Linked DNA regions of Xenopus tropicalis. The protein of the gene in region 1 interacts with the protein of each later gene in a biochemical or structural test. Links are inferred from orthologs where the notes say so. Each region holds a gene or a part of one and is shown in the gene's direction. Other genes may lie near its edges.

Region 1 (6,008 bases):
GTCTAAGGAGGCAATGACCCTGGAACCTTGCTCTATGTGCTCTAACTGTAAGTTAGTGAATAAATGCCGAATATTGAAAGCAGTTAATCTCCCAGGCATGAAGCCGGATTGGTCAGGGTGAACGAGATCTATAAAGACTCTCTTAAGTCTGTTAGCCAGAATTTTTGCCCATTTTGCCATCGCTATTGAGTAATGAAATTAGCCAGTAAGAAACATTCTGTTGGATCTTCCCCTCGTTTTAAAATGGAAGATTTAAGGGCTCAGTGTCAGATGAGGAAAGGGCTTCAGTGTCATAGACATGTTGAAGAGTTTCCAACAGGTGAGTCTGTCAGGGCCTGGGGTTTTATTGGAAGGTAATTCTGCTAAACCCAATTCTGTTCCCTGAGTGGATAATGGATAGTCAAGAAGTGCTTGAGTGCTCCGTGGCAATGATGGTATTTTATAATATCTAGGTATTGAGAGAGTTGGTATATTTTACGATTGAACTATACAGCCCTTGATACAATGGGGTGTTCTGTGGCGTATGCACCTGTTGGGGGTTAGGATGTGTGCCATTGTGGTGGAGGAAGCCTGCACCTTAGCTAGCATGCTCCCTCTCCGCTTTAGCCAGCTCCCCCTCTGCTTGCCTTACTTGGGCTTTGCTTGTGTCCCATAATATGTTTGGAGTGGCAGTATTAGCATTAGAGTCCCAGAATTCCTCATAGGCCTCTTTATTCTTTGCCTCTACATAGGGATTTTTGAGCCATAGGGGGCTCAGTCGCCAGTTTCTTTGTGATATTAGGGTCAAAACATAACTTTACTGTAGTGTGCACAAACAGCAGTGTTTTCAAACATCAAAGTGTTCCATTGTATCTTCTCTCTACTGGTGTTTTCAAAGGAACTAATTGGTTGTAAAATTATATAATTAGGGAAACAAAAATCTTTTATTACATTTTATAATTTTGATACATGGATGTGATAGAGAGAGAGAGAGGAATGTTCAATGATAGTCATGTTCCTGAACTTCCCTTCTATTAAAGGAGAAGGAAAGGCTAATAAAGAGTTAATCTCAAGCTGCAGGCATACCTTCAGTTGTCTCAATTGTGCCCTTAAGTCTCCCCATATTTCTCCCGTTCAGATGATCAGATGCCAGACAGGAAGAAAAACTGCTGAGCTGTGTAAAGAAAGTTCCCATAATGCCTCACTCCTGCACAGACACCCAGACCAAGTGAACATGCTCAGTTAGTTAGACTATGAGTCAGCTTCCTGCTAATTGGCTCAGATCCACATTCCTAAGGGGGGGGAGTGAGTTCTTAGCATTCTTGAGGGAGGGGGGAGCAGCAGAGAGGAAAAAGCTGAAAGCTGCATCTCTGGCAGAGGAAAACAGACACGACTAATCTTTTTACAGAGAACTCAGTGCAGCATTTCTGTGAGTGCTTATGGCTGTATTTACATAGACCTTTCTGATAAAGCTTACTTAGTTTTTACTTTTCCTTCTCCTTTAAGGCATGTTGGAAGATTTTGACGATTCTAATATGAAAATGCTTTATGTATTTTACCAGTGGTTTAAGAGTAATGCTCTCTTCCATGTTTTTTCAGAGTAAATGATCGTGTGGTTATGGTTAATGGGACACTTATGGATAATGTGTTCCATGCATTTGCAGTTCAGCAGCTACGGAAATGTGGAAAAACAGCCGTCATAGTAAGTGTCAGCTTTGATGGCTACAACTTGTGAGGATTTGTTTTGGGTCCTGAGTAATACACACAAACAGATGTCCATTTTAACACAACAGCCAAACAGGCAAACTATTGACCAATTTTGCGGCACACACTGGGATCCCAACACAGGTTTAAACAATCTAATCAGATGGGTGGCCAGTTATCCATTTGGCCAGTGATAATATGTGCAAACAGTAATGACCATTGACAAATAGATTTACAAACCAACATTGCCAGTACAGGTCACATAGACCAATACACAAAGTCAAATATAGACCATTTTGGCTGCAATTATGACTATGATGTGTTTGTATACAGTGAAGCAATGAGTCAAACTGGTCTCTATTTGACTTTTTGTATTGGTATATGTGACCTGTATTGTAAATGGACGTGTTTAGCAGATTTTTGTTTTGGAAACAGTAGACCACACTTGTCTGTATTTCAGTTCTGACCCTAATACCAAATAATATTTTACGGATTTCTTCAATCTGTACTAGGTTGTGAAAAGACCTCGAAAAGTTCAGGTGACTGCAAGAAGGTCACCTTCTCCTGAGCTGGACCCTAGAGATATTGATGCTGTAGACGATGATGGACCCTTTGAACACAGAAGTGCTTACAGTGGCTACAGCGAGAGGAGTTGGCATAGTGGAAACGGTCATCACAGTAGAGAATCGAGTCCAGACAGAGGCTACAGCAAGGACCAGGAAAGAGGTCGTTCCTACGACAGGGATCAAGACTGGGTTCGTGGGCGAAGCCGGGAGAGGGATCTGGACGATGAGCGAGAATACAGGCGGGAGCGCAGTAGGGGTAGAAGTCTAGACCGTGACCAGAGTGAGGAGCGTAGATACAAAAGAGATCACAAAAAGAGTGTGGACAGAGAGGAATCCTTTGAACGCAGCTACAGTGGAGACTACAGCCCAGACCGAGGCAACGGCAGGAGACTAGCACCTGACTACAGGAGTGAGAGGGAGATGCCAGTGAATCGTGCTCGTGATAGGCTTCAGTCCCACAGTCCTTCACCTGAACCACACAGAAAATCTGCTGCAGCTCACAAGGGACATGATAAGCCCATCAGTGTTTTGCTTAGTAAAAACAAGCCCAGTGAAGGTAGGATTATAAATACAGACATATTTAGCAGTCTGCTCTTGACAGCAAGCTTTGCAATCAGAAAGGCAGGATTTTCGACAAAACTCCCTGTTCGCGGGCGACTAATCTCCCCGACTTACATTTTCACCGGTGGGATAGCAGGTGATGGCAACTCGGGGAGATTAGTAGCCCGCGAACAGGGAGATTTGTCGCGGGTGACTAATTTCCCCGTGTACCAGAGCCCTTAGGGCAGTGGTACATGGGGAGATAAGTCAAGTTGTCTCAAGACAACTTCAGGCGACTGCGGGACATTATAGTGGCGCGTATGCCATCTCACCGGCAGTTTGCATTCTAGCTGGTGGGATTGCATTGCGGGGAGATTAGTCGCGTTGTCGTGGGGCGACTAATCTCCCTGTGTACCACTTGCCCTAAGGGTGAAAACACATGAAGCTACTAGTAGCAGCTACTTGATGTGACTACTAAAATAGACAATCCTGATAATTTACTGATAATTGTCTCTACGTGTGTTTAAGCAGAGGCAATTCTCAGTATTGTCTATGGCAGAGTATTTTCTGGAGTTTAGTAGCTGCTGCTAGGACATATGGATCAACGTAGTAGCAGCTACTTGTCACGGCTACTAAACACACATAGGGACCAATTATCAGTAAATGATCAGAATTGTCTATTTTAGTAGCCGTGAGAAGTAGCTGCTGCTGCTAGTAGCTCTGTGTGTCTTCACCCTAAAGATGGTCATTGAGACTGCAATATGAGGCACTAAAACTAGAACCTACAAAAAATAAATATTATAATATGTTGTATATTATAATATTTTCACTATACCAAAACAAAAGAGGAAAAAAATAAAGGTTTATAGCAGTGGTATAACTAGAAGATACTGTGCCACACAGTAAAATCATTTTAGGGCCCCCCTAAGCTTTTAAGATTTAGATATATTTCATAAACCAATATTGAAACTACTTATTAGTCTGTGTTCCAATGGGCCCCCTATACCTCCTGGGCTCCCCAGCATTTGCAGGGCCTGCTTTCTTTAAAGATACACCCTGGTATATGGAGGTTTGCCATCTTTTCTGGTTTATGAGGTCTGCTATTCAGAAGGCTCAGGAACAGGGGTTTTTCAGATAAGGGGTCTATTCAGAATTTGGATCTTTGTGCCATAAGTTTACTAAAAATCATTGAAATACTAAGTAAACACAATAGGATTGTTTTGCCACCAATAAGGATTGATTGTATCTTAGTTAGGATCATGTAGCCTTGATATATAATGTGGAAATTTGAGTTTTAAATTATTTTTGCCCTTGCTTTTAGAAATGAATTATCTTTAAATATTAACTTCACCTTGCATTAAACAAACTGAATTATAATGCTGAACTGTAAGGCAGAAATATATAGTTTAGCTATTTATATAATACATTGCCTTGAGTAGATTGTGCCTTTTCAACAGTTTATTAAAAACTGACTTTAATTATATGAAGGAATAGGTGTGAATAAATCAGTTCCTTGGATATTTATTGATGACCTCAGGGAGTACAGACCAGGGACTTGATTTGGCCATGCAATTCCCTATTTCTTCTAAGGCTTCTAGATATATGAGGAAATACTGCGTAGGAGTGTCTGAGTAATGAAATGTGCAGGGGTATTGGTTACTCAGAAGGTTTACTAAAGACCCTTCACTTGCTGGTGATCGATTTAAAAAGTGTCTCTACATAAATTTCTTAGGACTGAGATTCTGCCCTTGCATGTAATCCATCTTTAAATTGAACTGCAGGCACTTTGATTTATCATTTAGGTTGAATAGATTACACTAGCGATTAGCAAAGGAAATTACTTTAACCCCCTCTGAGGTATAGGCAGACCTTCATTGTTCATCGCTCTTCAGTTGTATTATCGGGCAACTAGAGCTGCAGCAAAAGCATGTGTAGCTTAAGGGCAGTGACACATGGGGAGATTTGTCACGGGCCACTAATTTCCCCGCAGTGCCATCCCACCAGCTAGAATGTAAATCGCCGGTGGGATGGCATACGCGGCGCCTCGATTTGCTGAAGTTGCCTTGAGAGAGTGTCACTGCCCTAAACCCCGCCAACACTTTATGCCAGGGGTCCTCAAACGTTCTTACTTGTGAGCCGCAGTCAAATGTAAAAAGACTTGGAGAGCAATACAAGCATCATGGAGGTGCCAAATAAGGGCTAAGATTGGCTATTGGGTAGCTGCTAGGCAACACAAGCATCATAAAAGTTCATGGAGGTGCCAAATAAGGGCTAAGATTGGCTATTGGACTGTCAGCTTACAGGGGGCTTTATTTGGTAGTAAATCTTGTTTTTATTCAACCAAAACTTGCCAACAAGTCAGGAATTCCAAAATAACTACCAGGTTTGGGGGCACTGAGAGCAACATCCAAGGGGTTGGTGAGCAACACGAGCCACTGGTTGGGAATCACTGCTTTTTGCCATAAATCTGTATTATATATTTAGCTGTCCTGCACAGTCCTTTAATGTTAAATAAATCCATGCACATGGCTACCAACATGGAACCCTACCCCAGTTTTGAACCTAGCAAATGACACAGGCCAGTGGGAGCAGGCCCATAACCGGAGTGCTATGGGCTTCAACATTATACATGCAGTTATGTGTCTTATGACTTCTGTACAGGAACTCTTTGACATGACATAAACTGTAGGTATATTATTTATGTTGGGTTTTAATTTTCCCTTTACATAGAACACATGGTAAAGGGCATTACCGCCAAGAAGTGGTTAAATGCATTTTTTGTGCCCCTTTGTTTACACTTTACATTTATAATGACTATTCTATGTAGTGTTGACTACTCCTATGGGGTATATTTATAAAGCTGTGTTTTACACCCCAAAAACTACATGATGCATTTATAAAACTCTTCCACATGAATGAATCCATTTTAGAGAACTAATTATTGTGTTTTGAAAGGTGTGTAGTAAGTTACACCAGATTAATGCAGAATATAGCACCTCAATGCTGTTACCTATTTCAGGCAGAGAGAAAATTTTGGCAGTAAGATTGAGGAAAAATTGTGTTTTTACAGTTGATTGTTTTCTTTTTTTTTCTTTAATGTGTGTCAGCTTTACAAATACATGCCACACCATAGAGTTAAAATGACAATATTTTTGAACACACCTTTAAAAGCATGCACCTTAAGCATCATGACTCCTTTTCTGCCCTGCAGAATATGGT
Region 2 (6,496 bases), about 53 Mb from region 1:
ATACATACTGATAACACAAACAAATGTTACAATATGGCTACAGATTTTTATCTCAGCAGCTAGGGAATGACAAAGCAGGCAGGCATTTCATTCCATGGGTAGAAACTCAGATATATTGATAAAAGTTTCAGTTTCTTAATGTCCTGGCTCCCAGCATTCAGTTTTGAAATTAACTGTCACCCAACAGAAATAAATTACACTGAGCCTCGCTACATATTTATGGCAGCCACCTGAATTGCTGCTTGATATGGAAACAGGTATGGTATCCATTCTCTGGAAACCTGTCTAAGTTACAGTAAGGTCTATAGGAGATGGGTCCACTTTAACTGAACAATTTAACATTTTTAAAATAATTTCCCTTTTCTCTGTAATAAAAAAAACATTACTTCATCCCAACAAAGATAAATTGAATCCTTGTTAAAGGTAAAGCCATCCTATTTGGCTGAATTAATGCTTTAATCAATTTTAGTAGACTTCTGTGTGGTGATCTAAATTACTGAAAGACCCCTTATCTTCAAAACCCTGGGTCCCAAGCATTCAAAATAATAGGTCCCATAATATATTTATTACATATAAATAAAGCAAAGTTGGTTTTATTTTCAAAAATCATGGTAACATTAATACATTCTGTGTGCCCATCTGACAGAGATCTACAAAACAATACCCTGACAGTTATATAGGTATGGGATCCAGAACGCTTACAGCCTGTTCATTTTTGGATATGGGATTTTTCTGTAATTTTGATCATCATAACTTAAGTCTGATAAAACAAAATGAAATAAAACCAATAGAATTGTTTTGTCGATAAGGACTAATGCAGCTTAGTTTCCATCAAATATATGATACAAAATGGCGTATGATTCCAGCATACACAACAAATGTGTAGAACACAAACAATAATTAGGAAGGCTGTATAGAATCATACTAAAGTATAGTAATGCAGATGAGAACCATGGGGGGCATGTAATTTTTCATGGGGAGACAAAATATCACTGAATGATGCAGGGGCTGTGACTGCACCATTGCCCATCCCCTATGAGGCCTGCTGGGAAGTTATCACAAGCGCTGCGGCACTAAGTAGCTCAGGGTGGCCAGCGCCAGAAATTAGGCTTATTCCTTGGGTACTGGAGCACTGGGGGTGCAAGCTTGTTAGCTCACTACAGCCTTCCGCCCAGCTTCTGTCTAAGGGTGAAGACACACTGGGCTACTAGTAGCAGCTACTTTTTCAAGGCTACTAAACTCCAGAAAATTCCTTGCCATAGACAATACTGAGATTTGCCTCTACTAAAAAACACGTAGAGACAATTATCAGTAAATGATTAGCATTGTGTTTTTTAGCAGTCAGGAAAAGTAGCTGCTACTAGTAGCTCTGAGTCTTCACCCTAAAGCTCAATTTTGAACAGTACTGAACTACATCCACTACAAGAGCTTGCTGGTCTTATTTATAGCAAAGAAATATTAACTTTAAATGCCCACTGACACCAGGTCTGGACTGTGATTCAAAATATATTCTGTCTATGGCATCACATAGCAGCCCCTCTGCAATTGCCAGGACCTACAGATTGCCAGCTCAGACCAGTCTTACACTATTCAAATACAGAGCAGGAGTCCATTATTTTTCTGTTAATCATCCATTAACTGTCTGTGGTACTGTGCGGCGCTCCCAGTTACTCAAAATATCACAGGGCTCTCTTGCTTCAATGCAGGGCAAAAGCGAAAAGAATGGCACCCCTGGAGTAAGGTGTCAAAATTGCACATGAGAAAAAGAAAATTGCAAATGTTTTGGGTTAAAGAAAAAATTGCTGATATGGAGAATAAAAAAAGCTGTAGGGGGTGAACATGAGGAGAGAATTAAGGCTGAAGACCAGGCAACATTTTGGCCCTTTATCAAGAAGTGGAAGAGTGAAGGAGGAGAGAAATACAGTTTATTGTAACATGAAGAAAAATTAAAATATATATATATATTAAGGAGAAAAAAAGATTAAAATATGAAATAGAAGAAAATGAAATTAATTTAAGAAGAAAACGTGATACATCTTTTTCAGCAGTGACTAAAAGCATTCAGTTGTACGCTGGGGCGTGGGGCAGTTACTATTTGGCATCTGACACTAGGATTGCCTTCTTTTCTAAACAAACAAAAAACAAATACTGGCCCATATTTTTTTTCCCTCTTTACTGACATTGATACCAGGAACCATTTTTACTGGGCAGGACAGTGTAATCCTATCGGGCACTGATGGCGGCACTAAAAGGGGGAGTTCTGGTGCAATTTGGCCCCACTAGTTACTTTACTTGTAAAACAAACACTATAAACTTACACGAAAAAAGTATCTAGATCACTTATATTAACCATTGGTTGATTAAGCATTTATTCTGAAAGTTTAGTTTTCATTAAAATTTCCCCCAATTGCGTAAGTAAAGCACAAACTGAGATCGTTATTTGCTCGGATCAAAGCTCACAGGTAATATAAACTCTCCCCTGACCCCACACGCATTGTGATACCCGCCCTCACTATACACACAGCAGGCTCAGCCATTCGGAAATGATTATTATTATTATGAGAGAAACAAGGCAAGTTCTTTCCCCTGACAGGGACATGTAAGCTGCACACAGAAACAACAGCGCTCACAAAGCACCGGCCGAAACCTGCTCGTATGGAGTCACACAAACCAGTTTATTCTCCCTACTGAGTTTCAGGTGCAGCCTTCCCGCCACGCCCTGACCCTCAGGGGAGAGGGGGAGGAGCCAAGGCGGGGCTGAGAGGGACGGAGAGGTGTAGGGGGAGACCGAGGCAGAGCAGCAGGTTGCGGGCTTTGGGGAACGTTGGCTCCGTTCTGGGCGCGGAGAAGTGATTTGTTTCTGAACTTTCTGTTGGGTCAGAGGATCCGAGGGGGCTCCCGCTGGGGAATAGCAGGTGTTTATACAGGTGAGAATCATAAATTATGTATTTAATTTGCTGGTTATATTATCTTTAGGGACATTATCCCTAGCTCTATTTCCTGTTACACAGAGAGTGTTGGTTGTTTAGATAACAGGGCTAGTAAAGTGACTCCATTTTGCTGTGTGTGTACTGGAGTTCTGCCCTAGGGAGAGGAGTAAATGTTAGATACTCATTATAAATAACAGAAGGCTGTGGGGGGTATTGCCCTGTATGTACTAAAGGTGGCCATACACGGGCAGTCAGTTGGGCAAGTTTAAAAATGGGGCCAAGGACCACAATGGCTTGTTCCAAGGCTAATTCCTTCCACTTGATAGCCTGCATACATTCGTTGGAACTGCCCGATATCGCCCACCTCAAGGTTGGTTTATTGTGGAAACATTCACTTATCTGGTTACCTGGCCAAACAAGCGGATCTTTAAATGTATGCCCCACTTACCCTAAAACTGGCTTCTGTGCAAACAATTGCTTCTCTTGCGCACTGTGTATAAATATAATTATAACCCTGGGAGAACACTTGTGTATGGTGCCCTGATTGGAAGTGAACCCGGGGTTGATTCCTGCCAGGGCATTATTCACAAAACCTATAGGTTTTCACAGGGTACGCTAATTACTTCCCACTGTCTAAATATAAATATTTAGTAGAAAAACAAGGTCAGTTAACAAATTCACTTCTTACAATAGCTTTTGATGCCCCAATGTTTCATATGTGGTCCCTGGTGTTTCTTACCCAATTCCGTTGGAGTTGGAAAGTCGCTGAGATCTGTGAGGGCTAAAACTCTTGGTTCAGTTTGGCTCTGTGGCAGAATTAGCACATTTATTTATTTTGTTATTAAAATTCAACTATATATGGCAAAGACTGGTACTGGTTGTTATGTGCATTTTACACCATTTTCTGTTATATTACTACTTACGCCCATTTCCCAAAGTTTACTGCTCAGACCGTGCATTTTGGGTGCTCTGAATAACTTGGCAAGACATCAAGAAACTGCTGTTAAATCAAAACAACTCTTCAGGGAGGAACTGTTATTTTATTGGGCAGTTTGTAACAGAATGCCTTGCTTATCTGGTGCTTGTATCAAATTTATTTTTTTTACTGTCTATTGCATTATTTGGAAAGTGCTCTTTGTAATGTAATATTTCAGTAATGCAGTCCCCAGTCACTTGCGATGGGGTAGGTTTTGGAAAAAAGCAATATGGTGTGTTGTGAGGGATGTCTGATTTCTGTTACAGGTAACTGCAAGTGTCCTTAAAGGTGGCCACACACGTGTCGATTTCCGATCTTTCGTGCGACCATCAGTCGCCTTCTATGGCGCCCGATCAAAATCTTTTGACCTGGCCGATTGACTCGCCGACTTGCCATACACGCACCGAATATCGAAACAGGGTTTCGTACGATATTATCGGTGCGTTTATGGCCAGCTTAAAGGAGTACTAAAACCTAACTAAAGAAGTAGGGTAGAAATGTACATTATGTTTTGGGCTTCTATACCAGCAGGGCCATGTCTATATTAGAAAAGCCACGGGCCTGTGCCTAGGGTGGCAGCCTCCGGAGGAATTCTCCCCAGCCACCACCAGATGTTTTCTGGGTAAATCTGGCAGCGGAGCTGGGGGCTGAGGGGGTCCCGCGAGGATTGCGGCGGAAGTGATATCACTTCTGTAACCTAGGGGGTGTAATATGGTGTGGTGCCTAGCCCAAGGCAACCACAGCCCTCAGTGTAATTAGCATCAGAATGTAATAATCAGCCCTGTAGCATTGGCTTATATGACAGACAAATCAAATTTTCTGCTTGATAATTTGCAACAACCCTTAAGGGTCGTGACAGACGGGGAGATTAGTCGCCCACAAAAAATCTCCCTTGTAGCGGGCGACTAATCTCCCCGATATGCCATCCCACCGGTGAGAATGTTAATCGCCAGTGGGATGGTATACGCGGCGCTGCCATCGCCGAAGTTGCCTTGAGAGGAAACTTCAGTGATTTCGGCCCCATGTATGCGATCCCACTGGCGATTTACATTCTCACCGGTGGGATGGCATAATGGGGAGATTAGTCGCCGTCACGAGCGACTAATCTCCCCGTCTGTCACGGCCCTAAGATTAGCTTCTCTGCAGCAGCTCAGAGCTCACTAGCCATGTCACAGACACAAAATAAGGAGCTCCTGTGACAATTCGGCTGGTGAAGTACAGTGTATAAAATATTGCATTTGTAGCCATTTAACTGCCCAGTACAGGTACGGGACCTTATCCAAAATTCTTGGGACCTGAGGTTTTTCGGATAAAGGGGTCTTTCCAAAATTTGGATCTTCATACCTTAAGCCTACTAAAAAAATAATTTATGGATAAATTAAACCAAATATGATTTTTATATCTCCAATAAAGAATTTGTTATATCTTAGTTGGGATCAAGCACAAGGTACTGTTTTATTATTACAAAGAAAAAGGAAATCCATTATTAAAAGTCTGAATTGTAGCTTTCAAGATAACGGATCGCATACCTGTATTGTGCACTTTGATATTATAGAGATATGGATTACTGGGCTGGGCTTCTTAAGGGTAATGGCACTTTGACTGTCACACCTTCAAACAGACTAAGTGCTTGAAACTGCCCCACTATAGACATGCATTGATGGTGCTTGTATCCTAATGGCTGTATAGGGTACGATTTGGGGTGTACAATTATTCACAAAAGCAGAATGACTAATCTGTTGATGTTTGCATGTATCTGCAACCCTGTTACTCTGGCAAGGGCGGCCTCTCCTCTGGTTTGGGTTCTGTTTATGGTAACACTTACTTATTATGAAATGTCCCTGGTACTTTCTATGTACTTAAATGTCTTGCTCTTCCAGCAACAGACAGAATATATAAATAGTCGGTACATGTGTGATAACAATATAAACCAGACTTTCTTGCATTTGTTCCCTAATTATGTACCAAAGTAACTTATATATAGATTTTATTTGCATCCATTATGTATAAATAAATACCTGGTTACTCGCAGCCGCCCAGCTCAGTTTTGCTACTTGGCTAACCTTGCCATTAGTGCATCCATAATATTTACAAGTGTAGACTTATCAAGTAAATGTTTCAACAAAACCATTCCTGTGTGCAGTAAAGTGCACCTTAGTGTAATATATAAGGACTATCCCAGGTTAATATGGAATTCAGTGACCTTACAAAGCCACAAGCCTCTTGTATATTTTGATGCTCAAATAATTGGTGAGTTAATGAGCATTTCATTCCAGTTATCATAAAGAGGGGTTATACTGCACAGGATGGTTTTCTGACCTCTTTACAGAAAAGCATTGAAGTACAATTAAAGTACAGAATCTCTCCGGGGGCCTCTTCCCTTTCCTCCCAGAAAGTGTTCTTCAGTCATGGCCCCATGTTTCACAGCAGGGTTGTTCCTGTGCTAGGATACAGGATTCTTATGTGCTAATGCCACAATTGTAACTGCTGACTCTCAGCCAATAAAGCGCCATGAGGCCTTGAAATGTTAGGGAAAATAACTTGCCTTTTTGAATTTTTGTTTTACAGGTTCTGCTTGTTTAAACAAATG
Region 3 (6,525 bases), on another chromosome or scaffold:
TACTATGTTTTGTGCCTCCCTAGGCCTGGGACTTTGTGGCCTCGCCACAAATCCGGGCCTGAAGATGGCATAGGAGAATGGACTCTGTGGAATACTGTGTATGGTAAGACAAGAAGGTACATAAATGTTTGCAAATGCAATTTAGAGTGTAATTGCCATGTTTTTTCCCCATAATGCAGTATTTGTTCCCAGAATTCAAGTGTCATTGCAGTCACAAGGGGCGATGTGCTTGGTGTTTTATAAGCACAGCAGCACTTATTTCAGATTGGAAGGCAGCAAGGACTGAGTGAAGCCGAACACTAAAGTGCAAGAAGCACATTTTGATGCAAGTTCCTTTAAAGGACATCAACCTAAAGAATAATATTATTTAGTGCTTCAAAAGTTATTTGTAAATGTAATTGCTACTGAATGCAGCATTTTCTGATCTTTTTAAACAACATCAGAGCCACCAGGGCAGTGTTCATAAGTCATTTTCTACAGTGATCATACTGACATGTCTGAAGTTGATGCAGTGGTCATTATCCATTTGTACAATGATCTTACTGGCATATTTGAGGTTACTGTAGTGCGGAGGCCAGGCAAAGATCTGCATCCTACCTGCACCCTTTCTACTAACTGCATGCTTGCCATTGTTAGTTGGTGCTTAGTTGGGACCTAGCATAGCAACATGATGCAGGGGCCCTCCTAGGCCTTAAGTTGTGCCACTAAATAATGCATTCTGGGCTTTAAAGCCACTCTGCGCTACATGGTAAGAGGTGCACAGATTCTCTGGAAAGCAGAAGGACTGCAAGTAAGGGGTTGAATGGTGCTGCCAGGCTGGGGGAGGGGTGGCATGGTCCTTGTGAATAAGACTATCGTGGTTTTTTCCTCAGTCTGAGGAATCATGTATGCAGTGGCGTAACTTGTAAGTGCCTGACTGCCTGTCCATATTACCACCCACTGTCTGTTTCCAGTGTAGGGCAAATTAAGCCACACCACTGCTTGTATGACTGTGCAAAAAATGTATTTACATAGAAATATATATGTATTTGGGTTTATGGTGTCTCACAGGAGTCACTATTGACATTACTACATATGGCCAGAAGTAGTGGTAAGCAGTCAAGCCTTGGTTGCTGGAGTACTGCAGGGGAAGAGTTTTTTGGGTCAGCTTAATTTCTCTTAATTTAGAGCAACATGTTCCTTGTAGCACTGTAGTAGCCACGCTATTCTGATAATACTGGAAATAACCCCCTTCCAGTAAGAGTTGGAGAGATTGATTTTCATACTGAATTATCTCTATTCAGGGCTGTAACTAGGGATAGGCAGGGAGGCACATCTAGGGCGCAATCACTTTTGGTATTGAAGGAAGTTGCACTTTTCCCAAATTTTTTTCCTATAAAATTTCAATGATAGCCTATCTCCCTCCCCTACTTCGTCCAAATTAGTTCTACAAGCAAAAAACAACCAGCATTGTAATATACAGTACAAACAGTAAGTCAGTGCCAATGATAATCATGTAGCAGTTCACACTGCTGCACCAGGTTCCCACCCTTTACCCTTTAAAAATTTTATAGTGACAGTCATTTAAGCACCAGTCTCAGATCTCCTCATCACTTGAACGATTAGCAAAATTTTTAACCTGGTGGAGCAGGGCAGACACTGTCAGCTATGTTGAGGCCGGCAGTAATACTCTATAATAGAATGCTGAGGGACAAATTAATGTCTGTTTTCTGGGCTGGTAAGATGAGGCAGAACCAGAGTGATGGTTCAGGTTTAATCAGGAGCAGCTCTAAGTGCGTGATTTAGTCTAACCCACTGGCAAGGGCTGTGGTGGGGGGTTGCAGCTCACCACCCTTGCCTAAGGCATCAAACCTCCTTGGGCCGGCTATGGCTGTATTGTCCCTGTGTTTAGCCTATGAATCAAGAGCTGCTGATCTATCACTGAATAGTGTCTGCAATCAGAGTTAAGTGCTACTTCTATGTTAATACTTGCAGACTATGTGGGCTGGGGGATTGAGATACATAGAAAAAGGAGACACCAAACAGGAAAGGAAAACAACATATAGAGAAAGAGAACAACATAAGCTTAGCAAAAGGTGGAAAATGGCACCTGTAAAATGGAGATAGGAAAGAACAAGAGCAGGATAAAGTAGGGAACAAATGGCAAAAGGATAGGAGAGAATTGCTCTTAGAGAAAGGTGAAAAGGTAAAATAAAGAAAAGTGGTGGAGGAAAGAAAGCAGTAAGATGCTATTGAGCTGACACAAAAAGATCAGGGAAGGAGAAGGGATATAAGAAGAGAAAGAAATATAAAGGATAAGAAAGAGAAAAAGACCGTAAAATACAGGATTGCACCAAAAAATAAACATGTAAAAAATAGAGGTGTCCCGAGAGAATTATAGGTAAGATTCTCCTTACAGATAACATACAATTAGAAATATTAAATACAAATATTTTATTCAAATATATGTTTTCCAGGCGTTAAAACTATACAGGTATAACAGTAGCCTTAAATGGAGAGGGAGGGGTGGAATCTGCGCACCAGTTGCCATATTGCCCTGGGTGCTACAATACTTAGTTCCAGCTGAAACTATGTATCACGTTTAGTGTCATTTTACACTTTGGTGATGCATTTACTACACTGCGCCTACATCCTGAATATCTAATGTGCACGCAATCCAGGTTTTCATGACTTTTCCTCCAGTGTCTCACATAGCATTCTCTGGGGGCGAAACTACAGACCAACGCCTTTCTATGCCTGCCCTACCTGATACCGGGGTGTGGCATGCTGGGATTGCCCATCCAGGCCCCTCCCTTTTTTCATACTTTTTTGCGTTTCTTTGAGAAATAGTTAACAACTTTTAGAAAAATTCACCTCGAATTACAATCTTATAGCGAACCAAAGATAATTGACACGAAATTACTTTCGGCTCTCTGTCCCGGGTCCACTGTGGAATGAACCCTCTGGGAGGGGCTCTCAGACAGGAACTGCTCGTCTCATCCTGTTTCCTCCTACACTTTACGGAATAGGATAAAGTGGAATTCGTGAGTAAAGAATAGGCTCCTGCCATTAGCCTGAGCCTCCGCCCAAGTCGTTGTTGTGTGAACACCGACGAAGGTGAGTTACAAAAGTATTGTTTTAGAAGTTTGAACCTCGAAAAAGATATAGTTTTGTTGAAACTTTATGGCGTATTTGTAATTAAAGTATTTCAAAAATGAATATGGTTCCAGCCGAAGACCAAGTGTCCCGGGCCGCTGATTTTTTTTTTTTTTTTGTAATAGAAATGGTTAATAATTATTGGTATATGGGACGTTATTGAAACAATTCTGGAATATTTTGATGCTAAAATGATTACACTTACACGCCGCTATAGAACATATTGGTTATAGTTATTTCAATTGGTTTGAGACACTATCCGGCTGTGTATAGGGAAAGCAGGTTAGTACAGGGGAGCGGGCGTTTCAGGACTGAGAACGAAACGTTGTTTAGTTTCGCTCTGCGTTTTGTATTGGCAAAGAGAAATAAATCCGTGTTTTCGGCTTACGGGCGGTTGGGGAATTTTGTTTTGGACTGCTGCCCCCAGCCTCCCCCTACAACATGGCTGAAGCTGATAAAGCTAGCTGGAAGGCAAAAGAATTCAGATGTTTTGTTCTATGAAGTATAAGACTGTTGTATCGGAACAGATACCATGTGTAAGTGTGTTTTTTGTTACTTTTTTTGCAGTATGAGTAGAACTGTAGCAGAGTGTAGATTTTGTTAGTTTGGATGCAAACCTTTGCAGTGACAATAGTTCTGAGTGACAGCGGATTCCCAGAGCTGCTTTCTGGCCATATAAGATAAAAGGAGCTGGGAATGTCCGTGCTGTTGATAAGCTTCAAAATGCAGAGATTGACCTTGGAAACTACTTTAAAGGGGTAGTATAGCGACCTATAAAAGTTTAAAACATAAGTTAAAGGGATAATTTTTTTTTCTTTTTTTTTTTTTTATAATTAAGAGATCAGTGGTGTATGTGTGTATATAAGAGCAAACGGAGCACACCCTTAAGAGAATCAAACGCCCTGGGTGCTGGTCACATCGGATCTTATCTCTCTCTCTCTCTCTCTCTCTCTCTCTCTCTCATTCATACATATATATATATATATATATATATATATATATATATATATATATATATATATATATATATATATATATATATATATATATATATATATATATATATAATATATGCTGAGGCACACACTTATAGGGATAACAACCTGGGTGCAAATCAGATAAACAATGTAAATATATGTGTGTGTATATAGCATTCAAGTCAGAAAACTATGGTTTTTGATATTAAGTTACAACTGAAGGTAAATTAAAACTATTTCATGTTTGGTTTTTGTGCGCTTAATAAGTTTACCAGTCACAGATAATTTCTTTATATAATTGACTTCTGCTTATCTCCTCACTGGTAATCTGGTGTATCTACCTCACAAGAACAAAACATGTATTTTCAATTACAAAGCCATAGATTTTTTTTTTTTTTTTTTTTCATGGCAAAAAGTATATCCAGCAGAAGCCCTATTCATTATCTCTTTTTGAACAAGCTCGTATGTTGCCCTTTTTAAGGCTGATGTGGCATGGAGAGATTTAGTCGCCTGCGATAGATCTCTAATTAGTCTCTCCAAAATGCCTTTCCACTGGTAACAGTACGAATCACTAGTGGAAAGGCCAACGCATTGCTTTGGTTTTCCGAAGATGCCTCCGGAGGCAACTTTGCACAACTTCGGAAAACCGAAACGATTTATAGGCCTTTCCACCAGCAATTCATATTGTTGCCGGTGGAAAGGCATTTTGGAGATATTTGCTACCTGTGGCAGCAGAGATCAGTGTCGGACTGGCCCACCAGGATACCAGAAAAACTCCCAGTGGGCCCAGGTGTAAGTGGGCCCTCTTGCTCCTAACCATTTGGCCTGTTTCATGCTCATTCCCTATTTCTGAATGGGAAGAAAGAGGAGAAATAGAGGGAAGAATAGATGCTAGCATGTAAATAAAAGAGACTGGGAAAATAAAGAGGTTGGGTAAAGAAAGGAGGAAAAATAGTTTGGAAAGCGGGTCTAAGCTTTTCTGATGGGCCCCTGGGGTCCCAGTCCGACACTGGCAGAGATCTATTGCGGGCTACTAAATCTCTCCACAGGACATCAGCCTAAAGGTGTCCATACACTAGTAGATTCGCTCAGTTGCCAATTGAGCGGATCTTCTCCCAATATGCTCACCTAAAGGTGGGCGATATTGCACTAATTCAGCAACTGCGTACATAGGCGCCGCCAGATCGGGGACTGCATCAAGGAGCCGATGCTGTCCCCAATGCGACGGAAAATCAAACCTGCCCGATCAAAATCTGCCCAATTTTAGGTCAGATCTTGGTCTGGTAGGCCTGTCAGGGGTGCCCATGCATGGGCCGAAAAGCTGCTAAATCGATCTGAAGGACCTAAATCAGCAGCTAAAATCTGCCTGTGTATGGCCACCTTTATACTGCAACATGTAACAGTAAGCACTAAGTTGGCCATACACTTTTTAAGATACACTTCTTTGGCAAGGTCACCAGCTGAGAGGATCTTTGCCCAATTTGGTCACCCCTGCACCCCAGCCAAACTAGGGAGTTCCAATTGCTGGCATAGGGGCAAACAAGCGGGCCTGTGTGAAACTATTACCATTCTGATGTTTCCTGGTATCTGCATAGTAGAATTGTTATGAACAGAAGTTACAGAATGACTTGGTATAGTTACTTGGACAATGACTTGGTGACAACCTTAATGTGAATGATAGAAGACCCTGTTGCAAAAATTTAAGTAAAAGTAGATCACTGGAAAATCTTACTTCAAATAATAAAAATATGCTTAAAGGAGACATATCCTATAAAAATTATGAATGTACCAGTGAATTATACTCCTCTAGATATAGAAGGAATGTGCTTAAAAATGCTGTGTTTCTGACTGATTTATTGAGAAATTCCACAAAAACCCCACTAGCCCCGCCCATCTATTCCACTTCCTGCTGGCTGAATTCTCTGGATGAGCTGGGGAGCCGGCGGCACTGTAGGATAGGAACCAATCAGCAGCTAGGCTGACCTGATAGGGAACTGAAGCTGGTCTTTGCTTGTGTGAGTGCAGGGCTGTGATTGGCTCTCCCCCTCCTACTGTGCTTCTGGCAGGGACCGCTAGGACACGCCCACTCCATTTCACACTGGACGGAGAAATGATAGGATCTATAGGGAGCTCCAATAAAGGGGCCATTGTTACAGATAGGATTAATGTTTAGCACAAAGGGAAACCAGCACCGTATATTATTCATAATTGCCTACAAAATTAGCATTTTTCCAATTTATCCAATACGTCTCCTTTAATGTGGGGCCTTATTTTTCAGTATAATTTTGCAAAAAGTTGTGTACATCCTGACCAGTCCTCTAAAGCAGTATTCAGTTGTAAGATGCGTAATGGCTGGCTAGAAGCTGACAAGCTGCAGACAATACAATTCCTATACAGTATGTTGACGCAATGT

The links. The genes of interacting proteins can lie anywhere in the genome.
Region 2: the proteins of tjp2 (region 1) and ocln form a complex in vitro, tested with the Homo sapiens proteins (3 studies listed by BioGRID). The link is inferred for Xenopus tropicalis from reciprocal best matches to the Homo sapiens genes TJP2 and OCLN.
Region 3: the proteins of tjp2 (region 1) and ctnna1 form a complex in vitro, tested with the Homo sapiens proteins (2 studies listed by BioGRID and IntAct, with this or other methods). The link is inferred for Xenopus tropicalis from reciprocal best matches to the Homo sapiens genes TJP2 and CTNNA1.

Annotation. Positions count from the first base shown.
Region 1 is NC_030677.2:129,426,858-129,432,865, forward strand, and holds part of tjp2 (tight junction protein ZO-2), read left to right. Parts: intron 1-1,578; coding exon 1,579-1,681; intron 1,682-2,195; coding exon 2,196-2,805; intron 2,806-6,000; coding exon 6,001-6,008. UniProt on the Homo sapiens protein: Plays a role in tight junctions and adherens junctions. Acts as a positive regulator of RANKL-induced osteoclast differentiation, potentially via mediating downstream transcriptional activity.
Region 2 is NC_030677.2:182,414,720-182,421,215, forward strand, and holds the start of ocln (occludin), read left to right. Parts: upstream 1-2,842; 5' UTR 2,843-2,927; intron 2,928-6,496. UniProt on the Homo sapiens protein: May play a role in the formation and regulation of the tight junction (TJ) paracellular permeability barrier.
Region 3 is NC_030679.2:19,988,893-19,995,417, forward strand, and holds the start of ctnna1 (catenin alpha-1), read left to right. Parts: upstream 1-2,871; 5' UTR 2,872-3,096; intron 3,097-6,525. UniProt on the Homo sapiens protein: Associates with the cytoplasmic domain of a variety of cadherins. The association of catenins to cadherins produces a complex which is linked to the actin filament network, and which seems to be of primary importance for cadherins cell-adhesion properties.